4 linked regions of the Elephas maximus indicus genome follow. The protein of the gene in region 4 interacts with the protein of the main gene of each other region in a pairwise test. Links are inferred from orthologs where the notes say so. Each region holds a gene or a part of one and is shown on either strand. Other genes may lie near its edges.

The links.
Region 1: the proteins of GRN (region 4) and keratin-associated protein 26-1 interact in binary tests that used the Homo sapiens proteins (3 or more experiments, as listed by UniProt). The two-hybrid records come from large-scale screens. The link is inferred for Elephas maximus indicus from reciprocal best matches to the Homo sapiens genes GRN and KRTAP26-1.
Region 2: the proteins of GRN (region 4) and C22H22orf39 interact in binary tests that used the Homo sapiens proteins (3 or more experiments, as listed by UniProt). The link is inferred for Elephas maximus indicus from reciprocal best matches to the Homo sapiens genes GRN and C22orf39.
Region 3: the proteins of GRN (region 4) and SMAD9 interact in binary tests that used the Homo sapiens proteins (3 or more experiments, as listed by UniProt). The link is inferred for Elephas maximus indicus from reciprocal best matches to the Homo sapiens genes GRN and SMAD9.

What each region holds. Positions count from the first base shown.
Region 1 is NC_064836.1:31,370,084-31,375,477, forward strand, and holds keratin-associated protein 26-1, read left to right. Parts: upstream 1-4,245; coding exon 4,246-4,878; downstream 4,879-5,394. UniProt on the Homo sapiens protein: In the hair cortex, hair keratin intermediate filaments are embedded in an interfilamentous matrix, consisting of hair keratin-associated proteins (KRTAP), which are essential for the formation of a rigid and resistant hair shaft through their extensive disulfide bond cross-linking with abundant cysteine residues of hair keratins.
Region 2 is NC_064840.1:32,679,418-32,686,892, reverse strand, and holds the start of C22H22orf39 (UPF0545 protein C22orf39 homolog), read left to right. Parts: upstream 1-4,463; 5' UTR 4,464-4,504; coding exon 4,505-4,531; intron 4,532-4,699; coding exon 4,700-4,867; intron 4,868-7,219; coding exon 7,220-7,348; 3' UTR 7,349-7,475. Other genes in the region: UFD1 (ubiquitin recognition factor in ER-associated degradation protein 1), read left to right, coding at 1,589-1,663. UniProt on the Homo sapiens protein: Negatively regulates long-term potentiation and modulates adult synaptic plasticity. Stabilizes the interaction of RTN4 isoform A/Nogo-A with its receptors, inhibiting clustering of postsynaptic AMPA receptors at synaptic sites.
Region 3 is NC_064832.1:18,130,965-18,138,468, forward strand, and holds the start of SMAD9 (mothers against decapentaplegic homolog 9), read right to left. Parts: upstream 3,003-7,504; 5' UTR 2,997-3,002; coding exon 2,585-2,996; intron 1-2,584. UniProt on the Homo sapiens protein: Transcriptional modulator activated by BMP (bone morphogenetic proteins) type 1 receptor kinase. SMAD9 is a receptor-regulated SMAD (R-SMAD).
Region 4 is NC_064837.1:50,849,307-50,857,299, reverse strand, and holds the start of GRN (progranulin), read right to left. Parts: upstream 3,003-7,993; 5' UTR 2,926-3,002; intron 2,639-2,925; exon of another isoform or gene 2,541-2,638; intron 2,247-2,540; exon of another isoform or gene 2,071-2,246; intron 343-2,070; 5' UTR 336-342; coding exon 198-335; intron 87-197; coding exon 1-86. UniProt on the Homo sapiens protein: Secreted protein that acts as a key regulator of lysosomal function and as a growth factor involved in inflammation, wound healing and cell proliferation. Regulates protein trafficking to lysosomes, and also the activity of lysosomal enzymes.

The sequences.
Region 1 (5,394 bases), on a different chromosome or scaffold from region 4:
CTTCCTTGATGGTTGTATGTCTTTCAGAATATGAATCTAAGTTTAGTGGCTATGGCTCCCCTCTAAGAATCCTCTACTGAAAGACTGTTCCATTATTTTTTTTCTGTCTCTGTATTTTTTGCATAAAAGGAGCCCTGCTGCTCAGTGGTTAGAGTGAACAACTGCTAACTGAAAGATTGGTAGTTCAAAACCACCAGCGTTCTGCTGGAGAAAGATGTGGCAGCCTGCTTGGAAACCCTATGGGGTCGCTATGAGTTGGTATCAACTCAACAGCAGTGGGTTTGGTTTTTTGGTTTTCAGTATACTTTTTGCATAGCCCATAGATGCAGAGGTGTATCTGAGGAAAATGGAGCCTATGCAAGCACTAATTTTGCCCCTGTCCAAACATCTGACACCCATCTTCTAGATAACTTTATCATAATATCAGCTCAAAAATACAAGTCAAGCTCATTAACCTTTTACTTAACACATTATGGCACTACATGAAAATGACAACTATTCCTTGCTTTCACTCGTGAAAACTGATCTATGATGTGCTCAAAGTCATTTCTTTCTGTTTCTTCTCCATCTCAGCGTAGCAAGATCACACAGTTTGCCTTGACTCATGGAGCCTCTCAAATACCAAACTACTATTTTCAACTTGCTGAATGATCTCTCACAGCTGGCGAAGGAAACTACTGAGATGGTTAATAGAAACTGCTCAGTGGTGCCACCCCCTCCACATGGCACCCAGGGCACATGCCATGCCTGCCATACCTTGGATACACCTCTGCCTGAAGTCTCATCCTCTTCCCCAAACGGCCGGTTGTTTCTTCCCATTCTTAAGAATTAATTTCAGATGCCAACTTTTAGGTAATGCCAATGAGTTCTGTTTGTCCTCCTCTGTACCCCTCTTAGAGAATTTATGCTCCTGTATTATCACACACACAAGGTTGAACGTGTCTGGAGAGCAGAAGCCAGTTATATCTGGGTATCATCCCCAGCATCTTTCGCAATGTTTTACACATCCTTGATGTTCAATAAACATCTGCTGAATGAATGACATGCCTGTCAGTTATGGTCATACCCTCACTATGTATCACGCTCTGAGGATTCTTTGTATCCAACAGAGAGAGATTAGGGGTTCTATAGAGTAAGAGAGGGAAGGACCTTTGGCTCATTAAAGAAAAAGCAATAAAGTAGGTAAACCTGTAGTTTACAGGTACCTGCAACGATGTAGGTGTCAGGCTCTTGCTTATAATAGAAAAGAGCAGGCATACTAATGAGATACCTGTTGTGCCCAAATAAACCCTTCCATGTTAGTGGCATAGTCACTCTTCAGTAACGTCAACTCAACATGTATTATTTTAAGGTAGAACTTATATTTGGGGGACTTCATTTTCTGAAATGCTGTAGATATTTTCAAAGTGTTACTTATCAATAATAAGAAAAAATAGGGTCTCATGGATGATACTCTTTGGGAGGGAGTAGAGATGCAAAAAATAAGATAACAACAACAAGAACAGATTATCTTCAGTGTTTTGCAGTTTACATTAATTTTGTATTATATCTCAATATATTTAATCCTAAAAATAAAACTAAAAAATAGATATTATTAATATTCCCATTTTTTCCCAGAAATAATACTGGTTGGTAATTGGGGTTCAGGGAGATTACGCAAATTGTCCAGGGTCACACAGCTAGTAAATGACAGTATCAATACATTCAACATAGTGCCATATTTCATACTGAAAGGAAAAATGTTTCATTGGTCAAGAAGCCTTTATTCAAAGGTTTCGCTTAATATCAATTACTACACCTTTCTAAATTTCAAATTTTCGCATAGGAACACTTGGAAGAGTAAAATGTACTATATAAATTTGTGAGGATAAAGTGACATTTCACGCATGGCTGTGAACACCACAAGGTCTATCACATAGTAGGCAATAAATAAATGCTGGTTCCCTCTTCTGCAGTCTTTCTCCTCATAGAAAAACACTCGTATATATACAAGCACCAACTGTCGTCGAGGCAACCCTGACTCATGACTACCTATGTGTGCCAGAGTAAAACTACTCCTCAGGGTTTTCAATGGCTGAATTTTTGGAAGTAGATCACCAGGCCTTTCTTCTGGGGTGCCTCTGGGTGGGCTCATAATTCCAACCTTTAGATTAGCAATTGAGTGTGCTAATCATTTGTATCACCCAGGGACTCCATGCCTACATATATTGTTGTTGTTAGCTGCCATTGAGCTGGCTCCCACTCTGGCTACCTTTTGTGTAACATAACGAAATGTTTCCTGTTCCTGCACCATCTTCATGATCTTTGGCGTGTTTGAGTCCATTGTACTACATATATAATACGTATACATACAGAGACATACTTACACGGGTGTCAAAATGATATAGGTCTTAGGCTCTTGCTTATCATAGAAAAGAGCAGGCATAAAGTATTGATGCACAATTTTGACAATCATTCAGTTAAAGATGGCTTTACCTATTACTAACGCCATTCAGCTGATGCAACCAGGATTTCACAAGAAGGCTCCATCAGCTGGGTACAAACAGTGTCAGACAGGTGACGAAGGCCTGGGGCTATTGAAACACATTAGATACAAATCATGAAAGGGTAATAGCCTCCAAACTAAAATACCGAGATAATTTCCACATGTTGGGACAGAACCTCAGAGACTATAATTTTCTCTTCATCTTTTTACCTCTGGTAGCAAAATCAGCCTGTATTGCCTCATAGGCAATTCATAAATTCTTCCCCCTCTGGACTGAGAAAGACTTGATAAGAGTAGGTGGGTTCAATGAACACTAAAGTAGAAGAAATTTTGTAACATAAATTGAATTTTTAGCCAAAGGGAATTGGAACTGAGATTCAGCAGATAATTTAAGTTCACGCTAAAGTAGCCACCGTTGTCCCTGGATTTGCAGGTATATGGAAAACAGAGTTGGACCATTGAAAATAAGCCAAATCATGCATTTTAAAACCTCCTTGCCATACAATTTATTCCCAAGTAGCCTCCAAAATACTCATACTTAGGAAGGCTATACTTTTAGCCTGTTGCTATTGCCTGTAAAAAAAAAAAAAAAAAATACAGTTAGAACACCTCTTTTTAAATTAATGTCAGGACCAATGTAGGAAGCAAAACCAAATCCATGTCTTAATCATTATATCTTATTTTTGACCATAAACAATAATTTGCAGCTGGAATATAAGTACACCATAAAATGAATAAGCTTAAAAAATCACAAAAAAAATCATGTCACCAAACTTTCTTTAAAGAGTTCTGCTTATCTGATTTTGCTCAGGGCAGGGTCAGTAATTGTAAATGAGCCCAACTATTATTTATATTAAACAAAATATTGCAAACAAAAACCAAGCTTACAGCTTGACTTAGCATTTTTTTTAATTGAACTGAATAGATTGAACACAAATTTTGTGAATCAAGATGTTTTGATGGAAAGTCACTTCCTACCAGGATTCTGAAATAAAACAAAAAACTGGGCACATGGACTTTTTCTATATTATAAAAACAAACAAACACACTGCTGTTAGGTGAATTCTGACTCATACCGACCCTGTAGGACTGAGTAGCGCTGCCCCATAGGGTTTCCAAGGAGTAGCTGGTGGATTCAAACTGCTGACCTTTTGGTTACCAGCCGAGCTCTTAACCACGGCCCTGCCAGGGCACCATATCATAGTACTTTCAAGCTCTTTCTGCTCTAAACCTTATAGGTTATAGGATTGCCCACTTTCTTTTTCAACACATTTGCTTCCAAGTTACTTACTTCAGCAATTTCCAAAATGAATAGAATTCTCCTTGTCGGAGAAACAATTGCCACTGTTTCAAAGATGTTTCCTACAATTTTTAAAGACTATTCTAAGACAGGAATTCTGGGAATGTTTGTCCAGTGGTGGTTATCATTGGAATAAGTATATGGCCTCTAAAATGTCTGTTTTCTTTGGATGATTTAAGAAGGAAAGATTCTATTAAAATTTTAGCTACACTGGTTTATAGCCATTCTTTATCGAGGGGAAGCTTTGCAAGAAACATTGGGTTTTATGGGAGGGGGTAGTGCCAATTTCTGAGCTATAATGATGAGTTCTGATGCAGACTTCATACAACAAGGAAGAGAGTCTGAATACAGAACCACCGCCTGCTAGGGATATATAAGGGTCAAACCAAGTGAGGGCACAGTCAAACTCGAGACACTTACTTCTTTCTACTCAACCACAGCCTGCTCTAGAAACCTCACTATGTCTTGCCACAACTACTGCTCTGGAAACTATAGCTCAGGATCCCTCAGGAATATCTGCCATATTCCTGTCACCTCCTCCAGTGCCCTCTGCTCTACCAATGTGAGCTATGGAGATGCCTTCTGCCTACCCAGCAGCTGTCAAGGCAGTTCCTGGCTCCTGGACAACTGCCAAGAGACCTGCAGTGAACCAACCAGCTGCCAGCCAGCCAACTGCGAGCCCAGCAACTCTTGCTGCCCTTCCACTGCTTACTATGTGCCCAGACCCTGCCAAGGAACCAGCTTTCTTCCTGTATCTTCTTCCATCTCAAGCTCTTGCTTCCCAGTCTCCTGTAGACCTCTGAGCTATGTGCCCAGTGGCTGCCGTCCATTGAGTCCTCTGCTCTACAACAGCCATCTCTTGGGCTGTGCACCCATTGGCTATCGACCACTGAACTGTTTGCCCAACAGCTGCCGACCCCTGAGCCTCCTCACTTACGGATGCCAACCCTTGAGTGGTTTGGCCTGTGGTTTGCAACCATTTAGCATTGTGTCCAGCAGCCTCAGACCCCTGAGGCCTCTCTCCAGTGGTTGCCAACCTCTTGCCCATGTTTTCAGTACTTGTCGTCCGTCTTGCTCTGCACTGGGGTACTAGTAGCCTGCTCATTCCAGAGAACAACGATGCTGAGAAACCTGGACCGAAATTCACACTCTGGGGACTTTTTGCTTCTTTATTCGTAGTGACAGTTTTTTCTCAGTTTTACTCTGCCTGATCAAATGCAAGTTGCTCATTTCATAATCTTTATTCTAGTCATTTCTCTTTGACATAAAATAATTGGTTTATGTGCTGTTCAATGTCACTCAGGTGTGGAAAAATTATTTGGTTCGTATTGTAATAAATTAGATTAAGTCACAATTATGTATCTGGGTCATCATTGTGTCTTTGCTTATTTTATCGTAACACAGAAATTACCAACCTGCACTGCTTATAAAACAAGTGAGTAGGACAGGTGACACACAACCTTACGTTCTTACCTGACAGCAGGGGAATAGCTCGATGGCTTATTCCTCAAGCTACCTTCTAGATCTCTGAGCCTATGAACTTGAAAAATGGAAAAAGACCTTGGTGGAATTTATTTTGAGAAGGCAAGACTAGGGATCACCTCTGTCA
Region 2 (7,475 bases), on a different chromosome or scaffold from region 4:
TCTAGAAAGGGAAAACAGAGAAATCATCAGGGAAGCAATTTCCCTGAACCAGAGGGCAGGCTTTTGCTGCTCGGAAGGGTCCCTGAGTGCTCAGCATGGGTGAAAATGGCCCTATTGGGGCAGGGGAGCCACTCCTGAAGAGGTTTCACGCAGATTGAGAATGGCATCTGCCTCTTAGTAGGACACAGAAATCTAGAAGATTCTGAGGGGAAATTTTTCCAACCTAACATTCTGTACCCACCAACCCATCAGTGAAGTGTGAGAGTATAAAAAAGATATTTTAAGACACCTTAAGATCTCATAAAAAGATACTCCTTGTGCTGCCTTTCTCAGTAGGGTGCTGGAGGATGTACCCCATTAAGATAAAGAAATAAGAAAGGCACAGAATCCAGAAAACAGGGAGTCCCCACTGCCATGTGCAGTGCTAGAGAATGGCCAGTGCAGGTTAGGCTGGCCAAAGGCCTCAGGATCCTGCTGGAATACTGCTGTGATTGAACAGATGGAGTAGAGAGAAGCCAAACACCATTGTTGACACCAGGAAAACTGGAAGGTTGTGCAGGAAAGGAAGACTAAACAACTGGGCTATGGCTCACATTTACAGAATTAGAACAAGCGAAGTGCTGTATTTGGATGGGGAGGGGACAGAATGAGTGTTGGGGTGCAGGTAGTCAGGGTATGCATTGGAGAGAGCAGAACCCTCTTCTTCCGGAGAGAAAAGTCAATAGGTAATGTGTAAGACTAGCAATAAAAGCATGTGAAAATGGGTCATTGTGCCAAGATACCTGCTGTTTTCAAAGGATCAGAATAATAAGTCCCCTCTGCTGGTAGGAGAATAGCTTAGTAGAATGTTTTTGAGTGCTGATTAGTCAGTATATATTAAAATCCTTGAAAATATGTATACCCGTTTACCCAAGAATTCCATCTAGGAATCCACCCCACTTCTAGGAAGAGCCAGGTCTGTGTACAGACCCATGAGGCTGCTCACCACAGCGATTTAAAATACAGAAAGCCTGGGCATGAGGGGGCCACGCAGTGATATAAGACTGGTTCACACGTGATGGGAGTCTGTGTAGACTTTAGAAGGTATTAGATAAGAAACTACAGTTTATATAGTCATAGACCGAAAAGTGACTGGAAAGCCTTTTTTAGGGTAGTGGCCTAGTGGTTAAGAGCTTGGCTGCTAACCAAAAGGTTGGCAGTTCGATTCCACCGGGCACTCCTTGGAAACCCTATGGGGCAGTTCTACTCTGTCCTACGTGGTTGCTGTGAGTCAGAATCAACTTAATGGCAACAGGGTTTAGAGTGATTTTTATTTTCTTGGTGTATCCTATGTTTTCTTTACATTGGAAATGTAGTGCTTTTGTAAAACGATACACTTTTAACCTGAGAATAAAGGCTGTGGCAGACTCATAGTGATTCTTTGGTGTTCTCAATGTAGTGAACTATGACTTGTATTTATATTTAAAATATTTTTCATTATGAGTAACGGGAAAGAAAAATGACTGGATGGTACAGGAGTCAACAGAATAGAACATTATTATAAATTTCCAAGGACTTTCTGAAAACGGTATTTTCTTTGCACACCTAGGATGAAGCTGGAGGCAGATTCGTTGCATTTTCTGGAGAAGGACAGTCATTGCGTAAAAAGGGAAGAAAGCCATAAGTCGGGGCTGTTGCCTGATTGGAAAATAAAATAATTGATTGCAACGTATTGGCTTTTAGTTACTGGCTCTGACAAGGATGAGACTATTGCCAGAAAACGCTCTGTTACTTAAGGTTTGTTTAGAGTTACCTAGAATTATCAAGTTGGAGCTGGAAGAGCAACAGCAGGACTTCATAGTTGTGTGCTTAATATTGGGAAAGAGAAAGCTGCCTCTGAGGTCCAGTAGTCGGTCACCTCCTTGCCAGTCTATGCTCAGCCCTCGGGGCTGCCACTGGCTCAGTGGGACCAGCGTTCCCTCATTCCTGATAAAGCCAGTGGAGGGATTGCCTTGCTCTAACTTGAGATGTTCTTTTTTTTTTTCTATGTAGCCTTTCTTTTTTGTTCCAGGTCCATTGCTTAAGATATTGCTTTTGGCCTAGAATATCTGCTACCCTGGCTGCAATTTATATATTTGAGAAAGGCTGTTTCTATTTTTATTTTACATATTGATTTTTTTTTTTTTTTTTTTTAAGTACCATTCCTCAGAAGGAAAACCTGATTTGAACAAAGTACCCACTTTTATTTTGGTTTCATGTGGAAGTAACTTTGGCTCCTGAATGAACCTGTTCTATAGAAAAATAACTTCATGTTGAAGCACAAATGTGAATATTATTATAAACAATAAAGGTATGCTCTTTTCCCTTCTCCCCCATCCTCACTCCCAATTTTACTGTATTAAATTATCCACAGCTCTGCTGGTCTGTCTTTATTTTTTATTAGTATTAATTTGGTCTGAGATCTTCACCTTCTATAATGTGAGATCTTTTGACATGCTAATCTAACTATTTTAATCTATTCCTTGAAAATAATTCTAAATGAAGAATTTAAAATAAAAACAGGCAATGATTAAAACCTGGACTGTCTCTAATGTAAATGTTTATAACAACGTGATTGGTGGCTGGGTCACTGACTAGGAAGGGGAGGAAGGCCTGCCGACGAGTGCCCCACTTTCCATCCTGCCTTTAGAAAAGTGCCCCTCTGGGGTTTCTTCTGGATAATGGAGAGAGAGAGGAGGCTCTGTGACCCTGGGGGTAGGGATGGTGAGGCCCAGCAGGGTCCCTTCTGTGTGCCAGGGCTTATCATGCTTATAGGCTGAAGCCTGACTTTGACAGGGCTTCTCCAACACTCAGAAGAGAAAAAGATGACCCCTCCAGGGTGGTAGCCTCAGGATCTATCCAGGTATCCTCAGAGAGAACTTGCATCAACAAATGTCAGTGACCAGGGCTTGGACCCATGGCCCAAATGGTCACCACAGAGGTCAGGACCAGTGGTGATGGATGTGGTTTTGGAAGACATGAATTATTGCGGTGACCTACCTGAAGAAAAAGAAAAAAAGAATTTTTTTTTTTTTTTCTGACCTACCTGACCCTCCATTAAAAGAGCCTCCGTTTCCCTAGCAGACATGGGCGCCTTCTTTGGTGGATTGGCAGCCACCATCTGCAGGATTAGATTGGCTAACAAATTGTAATTATATGCATAATGAAGAATGTTAACAGTAAGCCATAGGCCTTGGCTTTTGTCATCTATAAGTAACACCTATTGTGTATGCAGTGAAACTCCATCTGGCTCTTGGCTGGTAGTGTGGAGAACACTGCCCTTCCTGGGCCAGGGGGTAGACCCAGTTGTTGGGCCTTCTGATGGAAGCATTAAGGATATACACAGTGGGGTCATCTGGATTAGAAGTCAAGGTCATTTACTGCACCCTGGCCTATTTTTTTTTTTTTTTTTTTGGCCTATAGTCTTCCTAGACAGTGTTCCTCCAAGCTTGGGCCATGGGTCAGCCACCTCAGTGGTGGGCCCATTGGTAAAACTGGTGGCTTTCTGGGCCCCTCCTCCAGTGAGTCTGACCTACTCTTACTCCTGGGGTGGCTCCAGCAACCTAGCTCTAAGGGACTCCCCAGCAAATGATTCTATCAGCAGAAGCTGGAGAACCACCACATCCAGATACGAGGTATTGCAGAGAGTTGGTGGAGGCCCACTGGCTTCTTTATTGCCTCTTTGCACCTCCCCTGTTTGTAAACGTTGTCTCTGCGTGGCTTCAAAACAGCCTACAATCTTATCAGACATAAAAGCTCCTCCAGGTTTGTACGGCTCTGCTTCTCACTCCGTGCTAGACACAGACTCCCTGAGTTTGATTAGGCTGTTGCTATGCTCAGAGCGCTCAGCCCCGGTTCCCTCCACGAAGTTACTCTGTGCCCTAAGCCCCCTTCACCTCCTCCCCCATACTATGCTGAGCTAACCCAGGTTATTTTGTGACTTCACCTCAGTCCTCTTGACTGGATGCGAAGGGTGAGACCACTGCTGTCCCAGAACCTGGTGGTTCCTGACACGGGGTTGATGTTCACTATTTGCTTAGGAAAATTAACCGGGCATTTGAGATTCCTGAAAATATTGAAGCTGTTGAAACTAACCGGCCTGAATCGTGCGGCTTCATAAACAGTCAACTTAACGTGGTTGGCTGCAGCCTGGGACACCCACCGACACCAGGCGGGCAGCTGCAGTCATCACTCCCGCCCACCTCCAGCCGCTGCGGTAACACTAGGTCCGGGGCCAGACTTCCTGCCCCTGTAGAGGATACCTGACCGCCTCTCCCCGGCCCCGCCCGCGCGCACCACAGCCCCAGGCTTTTATTGGCTGCCCAATGCGGACCTCCTGTTTATTGGCCCCTCTTTAGGAGGTTAGAACCCGCCATATCTAGGAATTCATTGGTTCTTTTATTTGCCAATCGTGTGGCTGCCGACTTTATTCAGTTTTCATTGGTTGACGGGTTAAGAAGGCGGGGTTTGGTGGTTTTGCTTAGACATGGCCGACGGCGGCGGGAACTGGCGGGTAAGCGTGGTCTGTGACCCGAATCCGTAGCGGCCTCGTCGGACCAGGCGACCATATTAACCGAACCCTCACTGGGCTGGGTGGGACGGGGTCGGGGGATGGGCAGCACAGCGGCCTCTGGGGTGGGGCGTGCCTCCGGCAGCTCTCAGGCGTCGCCTCTCGCCGCAGCCGCCCCGACCCTGCGAAGCCTACCGCGCCGAGTGGAAACTCTGCCGCAGCGCAAGGCACCTTCTGCATCACTATTACGTCCACGGCGAGCGGCCGGCCTGCGACCAGTGGCTCCGCGACCTGGCCAGCTGCCACGAGTGGGAGAAACGCCGCAGCGCCGAGGCCCAGGTACCCTGGGGAGGCCAGCGGGGACACGTTGCCAGGATGTCGGGGTAGAGAGCAAGCATGCGGGCAGGCGCGCGTCCTGCGGATATGTGTAGAGCCCCCTGCATGTGCCAAGCCCTCCCCTCGACCCAGGCTCCGGTGACCCTGTGGAGAGGAGGCCTACTGGGCCCTTCCCCTCCTTAAGCTTCCCTTCTTTTGAGAAATGCCAAAAACAGGTATATCAACTGGACTTTCAGACGGTGTTAAGGACAATGAAGGAGACAAGTTAGGAGGAGTTGTAGAGTGACTTGGAGAGGGAGGAGGGGCCACCTGCAAGTGTTGGGGCCATCAGCAGGCCTTCAGAGGAGGCCATATTGCTGAATCCTGAATGACCTGGAGCTAGCGTTCACCCAGCCCTAGGTGACAAGACTGAGGAACAGAAAGAAGGCCATGGTGCTTGGAGCGGAGGGAGGGAGGGCTGTGGAGGGTAGAGGATGAGGGTGGAGAGCTACCAGGGACCTGATGTGTCTTGATAAAGAATTTAGATTCTGTTCTGGAGGTTGTTCTAGTTGTGCATTCATTCAGCAGATATTTATCACTGGCTTACTTCATGGCAGGTGTTCTTGGGGTTAGCGGAGTGAAGAGAACAGCCACTGCCCCCCTGGCACCCACACTCTAGTGGTGCCTCAGGCCAGTGGTGGGAGTGTGGATGGAGAGAAGGGGTGAGGGTGCAGTGCTTATGGGGAGTGCCTAGGGGAAGGGGAGCCAGCAGGACTGGGGACAGCTTCAACTTTGTTAAGTGTACGTGATTATTTTGGAACAGACAAGCTGATGTGGAAACCAAGGTGCTATTTAACAGGAAGCGATGACAAATCCATAATAAGTGAAAGAAAACTGGGAAAGATAGTTTGCAGTCTATATGGCAAGAGATTGACAACTTAATAGGTATAAAAAAGGAGCTGTTATATATCGAAAGGAAAAGTGGGGATGATTTCAGTATAGAAAAGTGGACAAAGGGCATGAAGAAGCAGTTCATGAAAAAAGAAAGCCAAATGGCCAGACACACAAGTTAAAAGGACAGTAGCAGTGTTTTTTGCCCAGTGGAATGTAGAAGTGTTGGTAGCGGTTTGGAGAGTCAGGAGTACTTGCGCATTGTTCCTGGGCGTCTCAACTGGAACACCCTCTCTGGAGGACAGTTAATCTGACTAAATAGGTTAAAAGCATAACTTTTGGCTCCAGTTTTACTTCTGGAAGTCTGTTCTAGGGAAAGAGTTGGACAACAGTGCACAGTTAAAAGCTTAAAGTGCTCACTGTGCCATTGTTTGTGATTGTGCAAAAACTGAAACCAACCTAATTCCACTAGTAGACATTTGACTACATAAGTACTCCTACATGGCGGAGTGCCATGTAGCCTTTAAACACAGGATAGTAATATACTGTGGTGTGGAAAATTACCTACAGTGTATCATTTAGTGAAAAAAAAGCAGGAAATACAGCAACCAACAGAGTATTATTCCACCCTTAGAGAAACACAGGATTACTCTAAAATTTGGGCATAGAAAGGTGTAGGGAAGCTGTTAACTGTCACCTGAGATGGAGGCCTGGGAGCCTTTCACACCCTACTTTGTGCTTCTGTTTTCTAAACAAGAACAAAAGCATTCTATCTGAGACAATAGGGCTTGAGGGGAGAGACAAGTAGGCAGGTGGAGAAGATGAACTTCTATGTGTAAAGAGCGTAGTGCCTGGCACATGCCAGGGGCCCACTTTGTGTGACAGCACTGCCCTTGTGCTTGTTTTTGAGAGAGAGTGGATGAAGAGAAGCTCCCACGTGTGGAGTGGGACCTGTTGTGCGCATCTGTGCCCAGTGACCTGTTGCCTGATTCCTTCCCTAACCTTCCAAGGAGTTCTGGGGATGTCTCTTATCTCATCTTTCTTTGTTCAGCCAATTGCTCCTCTCGGCAGGTTCCCACAGCCACTCTTTCAGACTTTTTTATCTTCTCACAGTTCAACGTCTCCAGTTTCTGTCTTTGCAGGTGAACCTGCCCCACGTTCACTAGGTGAACCGAAGCCAGGGAGCCTTGAGGCCCAGGAGATGTTTTAAATTTTATTCAAATGATGGTGATTTACACAGTAGTTTTTACAGTGGCTTGTGAAAAAGAATGATCTAGATGTATGTGTGCTAATATGGAACAATTGCGAAGACATGTTAGGTGGAAGCAACCATACTGCAGAACAGTATGCATGCTACACTCTTGTTTCTCTATCTGTGTTTGGAAGGGTGCTGAGGAGCAGGGAAATACAGGGGCCACGTGAGGGCACTCAGGCCCACTGAGGCCCAGCCATGAGGCAGAAGTGACTGGGGTCTCATTTACACAGCAATCCCTCTGTGAGAGCGAGCGGGCCCGAGTCCAGGCTGCACGGAAGCACGCCCTGGTGTGGTCCCTGAGGCGGAGCCCCCCTGCAGACTGGCACCTCCCTCTGCCCCAGGATGAGAAAGACGAGTGAGGAGTGGTCCTGCTCGCCACCTCTCCAGCTGCCTCCGCCTGTCTAAAATGGACCTGTCTTGCGACCTAAGGACTATGACTGGCCCGTCATAGTGGGTCCCTGCGAGCTCCACCTGGCCTAGAACATG
Region 3 (7,504 bases), on a different chromosome or scaffold from region 4:
AAACCTGTGTGGCTTAAATATTACCTTAAAATAATCTTTACCATCTTTGAATTTGGAAACTCGAGCCTAAACTATGATGATGTGAAATCTGCCATGCATAAAACATTCACACTCTCATTTCTTAAAGAACTTTACATATATGGAAAACAAAATGATCAAATAATCCTTTAGTTTTAGAGTATTCAAAGGAAAAACCAGATACATTTCACAAGATGCATTTTTCAACTACATTATTCAGAAACAAAGAAGTGATTTCTTTTTTAATTTATTTTGTTGTCATTGAAAAGTGATTTCTTAATAATCATTTTTTCATTAGGTGTATTTTGGATGCTTAATATAGTTCAAATCTTTGAAACATACCAACAAAAAAGGAATAAAGTCATTTCTATCATAAACTCAGACATTATGGATTTTTTTTTAAGGATGTATGGAGAACCCAGAGCAAAGCAGTCATGAAGGAAAGAAAACAAAAACCTGTATGATCTAGGGCAAATGAATTAGATTTGCCAGGTGTGGGACCTTCTAATCACATTCTCATTGTTTTGTTTATTATTAGCTGCTGTCTCATCAGCCCCTGACTCATGTTGACACCACGCACGGTGGAATGAAAAGCTGCCTGGTCCTGCGCCATCCCCATGATCAGTTGCAGGTCAGACTGCTGTGATCCATAGTTTTTATTGGCTAATTTTCAGAAGCAGATCGCCAGGCCTTTCTTTATAGTCCATCTTAGCCTGGAAGGGCCACTGAAACCTGCTCAGCATCACAGCAACATGCAAGCCTCCAGTGACAGATGGGTGGTGGCTGTACATGAGGTGCACTGGCTGGGAAACCAACTCTGGTCTCCCACATGGAAGGTGAGAACTCTGTCACTGAACCACCACTGCCTCACTCACGTTCTCACATGGGGTCTCAGTCCTCTGGATAAAATGGCTGTAATACATTGTGTGATCAAGATGACTGTCTTGATAACAGTTTTATAACATGACACAAGATTTAGGAGCCTCAGAGTTCACATAGTTAAGACTTTAGCTGGTCATGAATCACCTACTTAATATTGCTTTAAGTTATGTGAACTCTTGAGACAAGCAGCAGGCTAAATTCCTACAAGAGCCTACCTACACAGGACTATCTTTTAACTGGACACAGGCAAGTTCCTGAGCTACTGGGTCAGTCTTTTGGTTTCCTGGATGATGGAGAGGGAGCTCTCATAAAAACTGTATTCCTGATGGGAATGCAACAAGGAATGCTCTATACAAAGAGAAATGCAGGAAAACTCTGTTGTAACCAGTGTGAAGGAACAAACATCAGACTTGTTCAAAAAGGGGGGAAATGAAGATACATACACACACATAAATGTGTGAAGAGCTTTAGAATACGATTTCTAAAACTACGCTTAAGACCAACTGCCAATCTTTCTCTGACCCCCTTTGTTTTCAACACTGGAATGATTTCTAGCATTGGTTGTTTTCAGGTCCAGATATGAGATACCTTCCACTCTACTGAGTTTGAGGAGAGTAATAGCCAGAAAGCCTTCTTCAGTTTAGTTCAGTGAAGTGAACTTAGGGGAGGGGACAATGTTTTTTAGACAAAGCCATGTTAGGCCTTTCAAGGCCCCAAGAACTGTGAAAAGATTATGGTGGTTCCTCCAAAACACATCAAAATAAACTGCATTTTTCAAAATCACACAAAGCTTATCAAAAAATCCAAAACTGAACCAGATGCCTTTGAGTTGACTCCAACCCATGGCGACCCCATGTGTGTCAGAGTAGAACTGTGCTCCATAGGGTTTTCAGTGGCTGTGATCTTTTGAAATTAGATCACCAGGCACCTGGTATGGATTGAATTGTGTCCCCCGCAAAATGTGTGTCAACTTGGGTAGGCCATGATTCCCAGTATTGTGTGGTTGTCCATGATTTTGTGATCTAATATAATTTTATGTGTTATAAATTCTAACCTCTATGCTATTAATGATGCAGGATTAGAGGTAATTACGTTAAAGAGGTAGGATACAATACAATCTACAGGATTAAGCTGTATCTTGAGTCAATCTCTTTTGTGATATAAAAGACAGAGCTGAGCAGAGATGAGAAGGACCTTATTACTACCAAGCAAGAAGAGCCAAGGGTGGAGCGTGTTCTTCTGATCTGGGATCTCTGTGCTGAGAAGCTCCCAGACAAGGGGAAGATAGGTAAAGCCTTCCCCTAGAGCCAGCACCCTGATTTCAGACTTCTAGCCTCCTAAACTGTGAGAGAATAAATTTCTGTTTGCCAAAACCACCCACTTGTGGTGTTTCTGTTACAGCAGTACTAGGTAACCAAACCATAAACCTCTCCATTAGTAGTCTAGCACTTAACCCACCACCCAGGGACTCCACAAAGCTTTCATGCATGCTGAAATTAAAATATCTCTTTTCTTAGATTTTTCTGATTACAACATTTTGATGAGTTCAATAAACGTGAACCTCCCTCTCTTCTTTCTCTTTTGGGGTTGAGGAAGCCCCTTTCTGGTGTCCTGTCATTTTCCATCAACTGAGACATATCAGTTTAACTTTTTAATAAGCTACAACATCAGGAAGAAACCTCACCTGGAGTCTCCACTCTGCGGTAGTGATAAGGGTTAATGCACACCTCTTTCTGCTTCGAGCCAAATGGGAATTCACAGCACTCCAGTGGCTTCAACTCATGGTGGGACTGAAGATCAGGCCAACGCCACACTCGGCAATAAATGACATGGGGCAAACCCTTGCGGTGGGACACCTGCAGCCGTCCATCCAATGACCGGGGAATTGTGACACACTTGCTGGGCTGCCCCGGACAGCTGAGGGCCCTCTCCAGCTCATCCATGGCTCCTTTCTTCTTCTTTAATTTCTTCACTAAAGAGTCTACCGCCTTCTCTGCCCACTTTTCCTCTTCATCTCCTTGTTTCCAGCCTAGCAGTCTCTTTACTGCTGGGCTGGTGAAGGAGAACAGAGAGCTGATGGGGGTGCTGGAATGCATAAGGGGTGGACTAATGGCATCCAGTGCACAGAAACATGAGAGACCACCCTCAGGGCCCACAGGGCCCGGCAGAAAGAATCAGCAAGCAACTCTCAAGCAGTGTCATTGCACAAATCTTTCTGTTCTTCTGGATGCAAGTGTCACTGATTTAAGTTGGCAAGTGTGTTGACTTTCTCCTAAGCCCTTGAATAGCAGTAACTCTGGAAAAAACAAGACAAGACTTTAATTAGATTAATCAGTATAATTTTCAAAGAAGGTTAAAGTTGAACATAAAGAAGGAAACAACTGTAGTCTTCTTTGACTCTTCCCTCTCCTTTGTGTACCATGTCCAAGTCTTGGTAACTTTGTTTTCAAAACGTCTTTCAGATTTTGTCCCTTTGTCTCCATTTCTATCAACACCTGAGAACTTACCACTCACCTAGATAGCTTACTTCAACACCTCTGAAATAGCTTCTCTCCTTCCCCTCTCTTCCAATTCTAATCCAGTTACTCGCCAAAAAACTTTCATGAAGCCATTTTTCTATTTAAGAAATGGCAGTCACTCCTTGCCCAGCCAGGTTTCCCAAGTACAAACTGCTCTCTTTCTCGGTTTCTAGGGCTTCCTTAAACAACTTGCTCTTTCTTCTTTTTTTCTCATTTAGTTTGCACAAGTAATCCATTTTCATTGTGGAAAATATATATATAAGTGGAAAGTAAAAAAATTAGGATTAGTAATAATCTCACCACTCAGGGATTAGTGACTGCTAATATACATTCTTCGAACGTAGTTCTCCAGGTGTGATCTAAGGGCCTTGGGAAGTCCTGAGAGCCTTTCAGTGGGGCTGTTAGTTTCTCTCTTTTCTAATTACGTATCTGTGTGAGGCTGGCGATCTACTTCTGAAAATTAGCCAATGAAGTCTTATGGATCACAACAGACCATTGTCCAACTTGCTTGTCATCAGGAGGGATCAATCACTGGAGGAGGACATCATGTTTGGTAAAGTAGAGGGCCAATGAGGGCACTGGAGATCCTCAGTGAGATGGATTGGCACAATAGCCGCCAAGATGGAATTGAACATGCCAGTGATGGTGAGGATGACACAGGTCTGGGCAATGTTCTCCTTTAGTTGTGCATAAGGTGACCATGAGTTGGTGTCAACTTGATGACACCTATCTAGCAGAAGACATCTATATGCAGAAGCAGATATGAGAATCTAGTTGTCACCTATTAAAAACCTATTAAAGCAGATATTAAAGAGATTTGCAAAGATGTAAAACAATGACATGATTTTTAATACATTTTAGGGAAAACATAGGGTTATTTTGAAAACAAATTATTTATGTAATATGTAGTGAGTTTATTATGATTTTTAGATGAATCAAGTAGTTTAAATTCTCAGTTTTAATTTCTAAGACAGAAAAAAATGATAGATATAACCTGCATAAGCAAACTCTTTGAGTTCTCAAAGACATGACACCAAAAAAAATTTGCGAATTGCTTTTCCAGAAGTCAGTCATAGTCACATGCATACCTAACTGCATACACATTACTACTGCTGTCACATTTGTTGTTCTCCCTGAAAATGTGTTGAGTTCTTCTTTGCCCTCTTATCCCAAGGAGACATTCTTTTCTAGTTTTTTCATAGTCTTATTTAAATTTTCTGAGATATAGTGGCATTTCCTCTCCTGTGAAGTAGTTGGCTTAAATAAAACCTGTTCCTTCCAGATTTTAGAAACCAGGTACCTCATCAATGTTTAAAATGGCTGTTGGTAACACTTTGGAGGAAACTGACTCATTTTAGTATCCTGGAATCAATCTAGCTCATAATCTCTAACAGTCTCTTGTTTAATATGCATTAAACGTAATTTTATACAAACTTCTTCTTAAAAAAAAAAATAAAAAACTGAACCCAGTGCCGTCGAGTCGATTCTGACTCATAGTGACCCTACAGGACAGAGCAGAACTGCCCTATAGAGTTTCCAAGGAGCGCCTGGTGGATTTGAACTGCTGACCCTTTGGTTAGCAGCCATAGCACTTAACCACTACGCCACCAGGGTTTCCTAAAGAAGGTGCTATATAAACACTTGCTATTATTATCATTATCAGGCACCTCCTGTGAGGAGGCCGGAAGCCTGGTTACACAAAAATTGATTACATTTAATAAGTATGAACCAAAATTTATATCACTTTAGGCCTCGTATGGACTTTATTTAGCTTTGTATAGAGAGGTAAACTATGATGAAGAGAAGACTTGAGGACTTGAAAGTTGTTCTTTCTCATTCAGCAGTTTGGCTTACCCTCAATTTGGAAACGTTGATTTTGTGGCTTGACAATCATGAATTTATATAATTAAGTCTTTTGTCTAAGCTCTGCTTACTTAATCTAGACAGGCTGCCTTAAAGCAACAGTGCTAAAAGGGGGTTTACAGAGTTTGGAGAACAGGAAGTAGCATGACACAGAATAATCTGAAGCCAAAAAATGTTTTAAATTCTGCTTAGTTTCACATGGGATTTGTTATTAGTAAACTGTGGCATAAATCTTTAAACTTAGGTCAGTAGTAAAGAAAAGTTCTTTATAAAAATGTTTAGCAGAAGAATGGCATCTGGGGTCTTAAACACTAGCGCACGGCCATCTATGATGCATCAATTTGTCTCAACCCACCTGAAGCAAAGGAGAAAGAACACCAAAGACATAAGGTAATTACCAGCCCAAGAGACAGAAAGGGCCACATAAACCAGAGATTACATCAGCCTTCTCAAAAAAAGAAAAAAAGAGACCAGGAGAACTAGATGGTGCTCGACCACAACTGATGACTGCCCTGACAGGGAACACAATAGAGAACCCCTGAGGGAGCAGAACAGTGGGATACAGACCCCAAATTCTCCTAAAAAGACCAAACTTTATGGTCTGACTGAGACTGGAAGGACCTGGGAGGTCATGGTCCCCAGACCTTCTGTTAGCCCAAGACAGGAAGCATTCCCAAAGCCAACTCTTCAGACAGGGATTGGACTGGACTATGGGACAGAGAGTGATGTTGGTGAGGAGTGAACTTCTTGGATCAAGTAGACACATGAGATTATGTGGGCAGCTCCTGTCTGCATGGAAGATGAGAGGGCAGAGGGGGTCAGAAGCTAGCCAAATGGACAGGAAAATAAAGAGTGGAAAGGAGTGTGCTATCTCAGGGGGAGAGCAACTAGGAGTATATAGCAAGGTGTATATAAAGTTTTGTATGAGAAACTGACTTGATTTGTAAACTTTCACTTAAAGCACAATAAAAATTTAAACAAAACAAAACAAAATGTTTAGCAGAATTAAACATTCCTTTCAAAAAGCTGTTGCTCCATGAAACAAGTAACAATTCTCTAAACCATGGTTGTTTTTTAAACTGTGGGTTCCCATCTATTAATGGCATGTGAAATCAATTTACTGGGCCAAAATGACTTCTGTAAAAACAGAAGACTATATCGAAGAGCAGCAAACATAAAAAGAATAAATATTTCATTAAAGTTTTTCATTCAGAGGTTTGTGTTTTGCATGAGTGAGTGAATGTATGCATGTTCAGCATCACAAGGCAAAATTTAGTTGTTAGTGTGTATTTGAAACAGTATCTCTAAACCATATATTTTCTCAAATTGTATTGGGGCCGAGGATGCAGTGGTGGCTAGTGGTACAACTCTTGCCTTTCATGCAGGAGACCGCAGTTTGATTCCCAGCCAATGCACCTCATGAGCTGCCACCACTCATTTGTCCCTGAAGGCTTGCATGTTGCTATGATGCTGAAGAGGTTTCAGTGGAACTTACAGACTAAAAGGGACTAAGAAGAAAGGGCTGGCGATCAACTTCCAAAGATCAGTCAATGAAAACTCCATGGATTTTCATGTGCTACAATTGTAAAAAAAAAAATCTCTGGGGGAAAAAAAAACCCAACTCTATGGATCACAATGGTCTGATCCCATTGTGCATGAAGTCACCATGAGTCGGGGCCAACTTGACAGCAGCTAACAACAACAGTGATAACAGCCAATATTTCTAAGATTCAGCCATGAGGAGAGGCTTTCAGGAATAACCACTTCCCTTTGTCCCTTGGGGAAATTTCAGATGGTTCAGAATCTAGGGTCTCATCTACAGTCAGACTGGTACTCTGCAGTCTGATCTCGCTGCTGCATTTCAAATCATTGTAACAGCCTAAGGTGTCTCTGAAACACAGCTCCTGATCTATCAAACAAGCCTTTGGATTGCGGGAGGCCCTGAGGGGTCAAATGCAGATTCTCAGAGGGATAAACACTAAATTCATCACAGTAGCTTCTGAGTAAAGAAGAAAATACAAAATCCATGGATGGCTAATACATTATTCTCTATACTTGTTCATATAAAAGGTATATTTTTTAATAAAAAAGAAAGTATGAAAAAATGAATCAAACCTGGAATCTCAATAACACTAAGGCCTCAGGGTCTTGTCTATGTTAATAATCTCTATTTGCTCATATGGCACAATTTCAGATTCATGAAGGTTATTCCATATTCATTC
Region 4 (7,993 bases):
GAAGAGCCAGCAGAGCAGTGGGCATCAGTCTGGCAGGGTATACCCAGATGCCTGCTCCATGTTGTGGACAGAGAGGGCCATGTGTCCTGGGAAGAGAGGGACGAGGATAAACCAAAGGGTCCATGCCTGGCTTTGTCCTCAGGCCAACCTGGGGAAACTTAGGCTCCCAGCTTCCGCCTGGGCTGAGGGGTGCTCACCAGAATGGGGTTGCAGCAGCTGTAGCTGGCTCCCCCTGGGTCCAGGCAGCAGGCCACAGGGCAGAGCTGACCATCTGGGCACTGTGTTCCATCCACCAGCCCTGCCACCAAGGCCACCCAGCTCACCAGGGTCCACATGGTCCACCTGCAAAATGTCAACCAGCATTTGGGAACTCATTAGCTTAAGCCCATGCCACCCTTGATTCTGAGGCCATTCACAGGCTCAGGCCCAGGCCCAGGCCCAGGCCTACCTGAGCCTCCCCAACAACTCCCTGTCCAAGTAGGAAGAAAGATGTGGGGTCCGAGATTCCACTTCTACATGTCACCTGTGTGTGTGTGTCTCCATGAGCATCAATGCTGACATGAGTATATGTGTGAATCTGAGTCCCCGACATGGCCTAACACCTGAGTCTGTGCGTGTGGCAGAGACGTATGCATGTGACAGTCAGGAGGATGTGTGGTTTTTGTGGGTCTGATCTGTGGGGACACAGGCCACCTGGGTGGGGTAGGGTGGGGTGTGGTGAGCACCAGTAGCCACAGGAGAAAACAGGGATGGGGGTGGCAGGAGAGAGCTCCACGGCCCCTCGTCCTCAGCCAGCTCTTCCAGATACCTCCCAGCCTGGTGGTGTGCATACACATGTACCCCGCTACGGCCTGCGTGTGTGGGGTGGTCACATGATGACATGGGAAACCACAGGGTTGAGAAAGTTGAAAAAAGGGAAGTGTGGTGGACAGTGGAGTCTGGGCTTCTTTTCCCAGAGGCCAGCTGACTCTCCCCTACCCCTACACCCATGGAGGGAGACACAAGGCTGGGGGGCGGCCTTTGAGACACCTGTTCTTTGAGAGCCCCCCAATACCACCAGGGCCCTCTCAGACTCCCCAAACATACCAACCACTTGCCCCTGCTTCTCCTCTACCCTGAGCGCCAAAACTCAATCACATACAAAAAGAGACCACATGGGATCCATGAGGGCCTCTCGGCCCTCACCTGCCTCGACTTGAGTCAGCAGGAGGAACTAAGCCTCTCACTTCCTAAACAACTCTTCCCCCAAGCTCCACGGCCTGACGAGAGCAACGGGGCAGGCCTGGGAGGCACTGACTTGCCCAGTGTGTGGGTTGTGCCCCTTGAGAACCAATTATAACATCCTATTTTATTTCGTCTTTGCAATAACCACCCAAAATAATAATTATTATCTTTACTTTTCAAAGGAGGAAACTGAGGCTCAGAGATGTTAAGTATGGTGCCGCTGCTGTACGTCAGGTCATGGCGACGACAGGTTTTGATGGCTGCACAGCTTATTGGACCTGGTTCTTTTCACAAGTGATGCCCCAGGCAGGGCTCAGGAATGAACCCCCCCAAACAGAGGCCTGGGGTCCAAGCAAAGGGAGGGGGACAGAGGCATTTCCTGAGCAGGTGGAAGGGGCAGGGAAGAAAAGGGAACAGGGGTTTTGTGGAAACTGCACTTGGGTCCTAGTCCTGGAATTGTCACCAACAGATTGTGAGAGCCTCAAAAGGTGAGTGGATCAGGAAATCTCTCCCACCCAGTCACTCCCTCACCTGGTTTTCCTCAGGTGCCCCCTCCCCCAGGTCAAAGAACAGATGAGGATGAAGACTGGTATGGGATGCTGCCCTTTCTCCCTCTCCTCCACCACCACCGCTCCCAGGAAAAGCCTCTGCAGCTGGCCCCACCTGCTTCAGGGGTGGGGGTGTCTAAACTCACTCCTCAGCTGCCTATCCTGCTGCCCTGGCTGAGGCCAGAGGGTTGTCTGCACAGATCTATGCTTGTTCTGGACCCCGGTGATTTATGTTTATTTTCCTTCCTGTGTATCCTTAGGTTAGGGTGTATAGTTCAAATCTCTATTGAATACATACACACACAGAACTAGAGACGGGGGAGAAGGAGGCCCAGTCCCCGCCTCGGGCTGCTCCTCAGTAGGGTTCCTAGCGGCGGCCTGTCACCCCCAACGCACACTTCCACAACAGAAAGGACAGGAGCGTCTTCAAGCCCCCAGCTCCGTCATCTTCCACTAGGGGGCACCCCCCAACTCCTAGTGGCAGAGAGGAAGATTCCCCAAAAGTGAGCCAATCCATTTGCAACTGAGGAGGAAAAAGTGGCTGGGAGAGGCGGAAGTTAGCTCGTCCTACCCCCACGTGAGGAAGCAAGGAAGAGCCAGACAAAACCCAGGAGCCCTGGTGGTGCGTTTGGCTGCTAACCAAAAGGTCAATAGTTCGAGTCCACCAGCCACTCCCTGGAAACCTTGTGTGGCAGTTCTACTCTGTCCTATAGGGTGGCTATAAGTCGACACAACACAGGGGCTCGGTCACCACTCCCAAGTCCCTACCTTTGGGGCGGCCAGGGTCTCAAGTCCTGCTCCCAGTTCCCCGGGGCAGCCACGGGGACCACTCCACCGCCACCACCAAAAGAGGAAGGAGCCGGCTCCTGTCAACAGATGGCTCTAGAATAGGGTGGTACCTGCTTTGAGGAAAGGGGCTGCAGCTTCCGGGGATCCTGGCACGGAAAAAGCCCCCTTCTAATGGGGTCACTGCAGTTACCACCTACTCTCCCCTAAAATTCCCTCCAGTGCATCAGAAACCCTCAAAGGAGTTTCTGGACGCAAATCTCCCTTCGTCTCCCGGCTGAGACTCCAGGAGCACCTCAAGCTCACCAGTCCCCGGCCGGACCCCTGGGAAGGAGCCAGTGAGAGGTGTGCACCGCCACCCTCTTACCTGCGTCCGGATCCGCGCTCCCTGGCAGCAGCAGCCGGTCGGCTCGCGCACTACAGCCCCTCCGCCCGAGGACCCGCCCACCTCAGTGTCCATTGGCCAGCGGCCGGCATGCCTCCCTCCCATTGGTTATTTGTCGACGTGGAGGCAGGGCCAGTCTGGAATACTGTGTTTCTTTTCAACCCAATTCACTCCCCCTTCCTATCTCTCCCCACCCCCCATCCCTGCAGATCATGTGATTGGAGAATCATGTGACGCTCTGGCCCTTCTCAGACTGCCGTCCAGAGCCAGCTTGCAGATCTTCCTACCTCCACCCCTCTGGGCTCCTGGGAGAGTTAGCCTCAAGGAGGCAACGTGTCTGGGGATGTTAACAGCCAAGGGGGCTACCCCTCAGGGGTTTTGCTCAAAGGCGTTTACAGGATGTCGGGTTGCATCCCCTTTCTACTCTATTCAGCAGTTAATTAAATGCTAGGGATTCAGGGCCCACAGGGGGTTGAGGAGGGTTGTGAGGATAAGGACAAGCAGCCCCCAGGCCTTTTTTTCAAGACGCTCACGGCTGGCCGCGGATAAGGAAGGGAGAACAAATCGGAATAAATCTAATTTAAATGTACGAGGTCGTGTGCCAGGTGCTATATATTGTGAATATGAAGAGGTAGTAGGTTTGCCACAGGGTGGGGAAGAAGAGATTAATTCCACTTTGGGAGTTCCTTCTTGAGCTGTGTCTGGGAGGATTTTAACTGACAGGTGGGGAGGGGCTAGGAGTCCCTGGGTGGTGTAAACAGTTCAGAACCACAAAGGTTGGAAGTTGGAACACACCTAGAGGCACCTGTGAAGAAAAGCCTGGCTGTCTGCTTCCGAAAGATCACAAAACCTTAAAAACCCTATGGAATACAGCTATACTCTGCACACACACAGGATCACCATGAGTTGGAATCAACTTGGTGGCAACTGGTTTTTAGGGGAGAGGCTGTAGAAATGACTGGAGGCCAGGGGTTGGGGCGGTCTTGGGAAGAGCATCAGAACACTAGATGGGAAGGGCAGACATAGGCAGGTTGAATGCCCTGTTCAGTGCAAGTGGCCTTGAGTAGCTGCTGGGTGCCTGAAACAAGGCTGGGCTGGGGGTGGGAAGTGGAAGTACTTCTTAGTTTCAGTAGGCCCTGCCTTCCAGAAATTGACATGACAGGTAAGGAGAGAAAATTTATACACAGAACAGATTAGCCAGTGACAGGAGCCAGAACTGCTCAGTGCCAGTGGCCTGGCACAGGCAGCAGTGGCTGATGGGGAGATGGGCCAGAAGAGAGGCCCAGGGAAAGTGCTGGGCCTTGGAGGAAGGGCAGTGGACAGAGGCAGAGTGGACAGAGGGCACTACAAGCTGAGGAGAGGGCTTGAGGTAAGGTGGTTGTTATCATCGAGTCAATTCATACTCTGGTGACTCCACGTGTGCAGAGTAGGACTGTGCTCTCTAGGGTTTTCAAGGCTGTGACCTTTCAGAGGCAGATCAATAGGCCTGTCTCCTGAGGTGCCTCTGGGTGGGTTCAGACCTCAAACCTTTTGGCTGGTAGTAGAGCACTTAACGTTGGAGACACCCAGGCACTCGGGGCTGGGGCAGGGAGACAAATAGGGGTGGTGGGAGTCTAGGTAGGGAAGGAGTGACAGAGTTGTGGAATTGTGTTACAGGGGTTCTTAGCCTGGGGCTAGAAAGGGCCCAGAAAGTGGATAAGGCTCCTGCTGCTAAACTAGGACTACTTTGCACCCTGGTGACTTATTTGTGTGTATTTTCTTCCCGTGTATCCTGAGGTTAGGGAGTATGGCTTATGTTTCTATTGAATACACCACGCACTTGAGCTTCATGAAATGTTAAGCAAATTAATAAATGAATCTATGCATCACAACTACACAGAACCAGAGAAAATGCATGCAGGAGAAAAAACCTCCAAAGTGACTGAAACAGACATCACAAATTCAATCTCTAAAGCAGTAATTTTGTCCCCAGAGGACAATTTGGGGGGGCAGTACTGGCATCTAGTAGGTAGAGGTCAGGGATGCTGCTAACTATCCTACAATGCACAGAACAGTCCTCCACGGTGAAGAATAATCTGGCCCAAAATGTCCATAGTGCTGAGGTTGAGAAACCCTGTCGTAAAGGATCACAAACTTTTTCCATAAGGGAGTCCCAAGTTTTCCACGTGCATAGGCCCTTTGATTTCATACACTTTTAATAAATGTGACTATCTGATTTCCCAGCAACAGAAAGATGAGGGGATATGTTGAAGTTTCTAGAGGCAGGCACTTGGCGTTTAGCAAGGATTAAAGGCTTAAGGGGACAAAACCGCTGAAAAGCAGACTGAAGAACTCAAAAGCACACCAGATGTGGGACATTGAATGCAGGGCCAAAACAGCCCTGTAGGACTGGCGACCGTAAGGGCATCCCTCCTAAAGGACAGTAATTGACAGTCAAGGGATCAGCCAGAGCATTCAGAAAAGTTTAAATCATATGCAGTTACTCTGATTACTAAGGCAAGGAAGTGTGAAATACGTTTACTAAACCACTTGACAAAGTGGATGAAATGAGCCTTGGGCACTTCAGTGGAGAGGATACAGTCCCCAGCCCCACTCCATCCTCCAGGGCTGTGGGCCAGCTACCACATTCCTCAAGAACACCTCCAGGGGACCTTGATCAAAACGGATAAAATGCAGAACAGAATTTCAAACTCTCATGGAATCCAGACTTTCTGGAGCCATGGAAGCTAGATGAATCTCAAAACTATTGCCCTGAGATAATCCTTAAAATTTAAATCAAAATATCCCCCAAGTTTTCTTAAAACCAAACAATAGTTTAACTTAACTAGTAAAAAACGTCTGCCTTGGGCATTATGCTCTTTTAAGAACTATTTATATGAGATCGAATTGACAGCAGCAACTGGAAAGATCCCATAGGAACCTTAGAGGGCAGTGAGTTTATGTTAATGGAGGAGCAACAACTCAGAAAAGGAAGGTGAGAATGGTTGCACAGCTTGAAGATTGTAATCAGTGTCACCAAGTTGCGTAGAAACTGTTGAATTGGTGTATATTTTGCTATGTATATTCTCAACAACAATGACAAATAAATTATTATTATTTTTTAATCTAGTTGTGCTGGACTCAGTCTGGTGGAGACTGAGGTAGTTGTGATCCATTAGTCCTTCGAAGTAGTCTTTCCCTTGTGTCTTTGGTTTTCTTCATTCTCCCTTGCTCCAGACGGTGTGGGACCAGTGAAGTATTTTAGATGGCTGCTCACAAGCTTTTAAGAAACCAGACTCTACTCACCAAAGTAGGATGTAGAGCCTTTTCTTTATAAACTGTTATGCCAATTGAACTAGATGTCCCCTGTAAAAGAGATATGACATCAAGGAGTCAGTCCCCATTTGCGCCCCTCCCTAAGCCCTTCCCAGGCCCGCTTTGTCAGGCCTTGTGGTCCCCAGGACTCATGCTGCTTCCCTGCATGACCTCACCCTGCCCAGCCTGGGTGTTAGTATCTCGACCTCTGTCCTTTTTTGGGTTTGCTTACAAGGAAATAAACCACAGCCTGAAATCTCCACAGACATGTTCACTCCTGCCCTACATCTGGCCCCAGGTTCCCTGGTCCCTGGGAAAACCAGCATTGCCTGCCTGCAACTCTCCAGGCACCTCTGCAAACCCCCTTCAACCCTCCTCTCCTGCCTGTACCTGCTGTGAGGGCCTCAAGCATAACCACCTGGGCTTCTGCCCAGTCTGGTGACTCAGCCCTTCCCTGAATGCCCTGGTGTTCAGCCTGATTCCAAAGTGAGGCTTGGCTCTAGTGTAGAGAATGTAGCACCGGGTGGACAGAGGTAGGCAGGGGTGGGCCCTGAACCTGACCCCCTGCCATCTCCTTCCAAGAATTTTATATCTTTCTTCCTTCCTTCTTTTCTACCTTTCTTTTTTCCCCCTCTCACTCTTCCTTCTTCCATCTCCCTTCTTTTTTTTAGTTTTAAATACACAATTCAATATAAATGCGCCAAAAAGTCACTGCAGTGTAATGGTTTATATATGGCTTTTCTGGCCCTGGGTTTGTAATCTGCCAAAAAATGATTGGTTAGGCCACAGGCTTCCCTGTGATTGGTCTATTTTGCACCTTGCAGTTAGTTTACTAGTCAAAAAAAAAAAAAGTGGTGTGTAAAACCACCCAATAAGATTGAACGACTTTTGGTCCACCGAGGGGATTGGTTGATTCCTGGTTCTGCTGGGAGGTCCACGCCTTGAAATTGACAAGGAGTTTGCTTATATAAGAGGCTAAATGCAGGGGGGGTTTGGGAGAGAGGCAAGGAAGGAACCTCAAGACCAAGAAGATCCTGGGGAGGAGCTGTTTGGACCTGGGGTTCCTGCCAGGAGACCCTCCTAAAAGAGCTATAATACAGGTCAGGCGCTGTAACATTGAAGATGGCAAGAGGCCCAGAAGGGGCCCAGTGGCAGAGCCAGTGGTAACAGCAGAAATCTGCTAGGAGAGCAACACTAAGCAAGCTGTTACCCTGGCTGTGAGCTGGGCCAGTTGGCAGCAGAAAATCCTGCATGGCAGAAAGGCCTGCGCTGCAGAGAGCTGTCCTGATTGGAAGCTGTCTGGCACTGAAGAAGGCAGGGATGTGCTCTCTACCCTGGAAACTTGTCTATGTGCTTCCTGATGCTAATCCCAATTTGTTCCTGTTACTTCCAAATTGATCCGGATCCCAAGTAAGAGAAATAAAGTCTTGACACATGCTACAATATGGATGGAGCTTAAAGACATTATGCTGAGTGAAAAAAACTCAGTCACAAAAGGACAAATACTATATGACCTCCCTTACATAAAAAAAACAAGAAAAGACAAATGTATAGAGACCTTATTGGTACTAGGGGCAGGGGGGAGGGGGAAAGAGGGAGTTATCACTTATGTAGTACTGAGTTTCAGTTTATGGTGATGGAAAAATCCCATTGATTAAGGATAGGGTTGCACAGCTGATTATTGTAAGTGCTGTCAATAAGTTGTACAGGTGTAAACAGTTGAATTGGCAAAAGTTGTATGATAGACCATTTACAA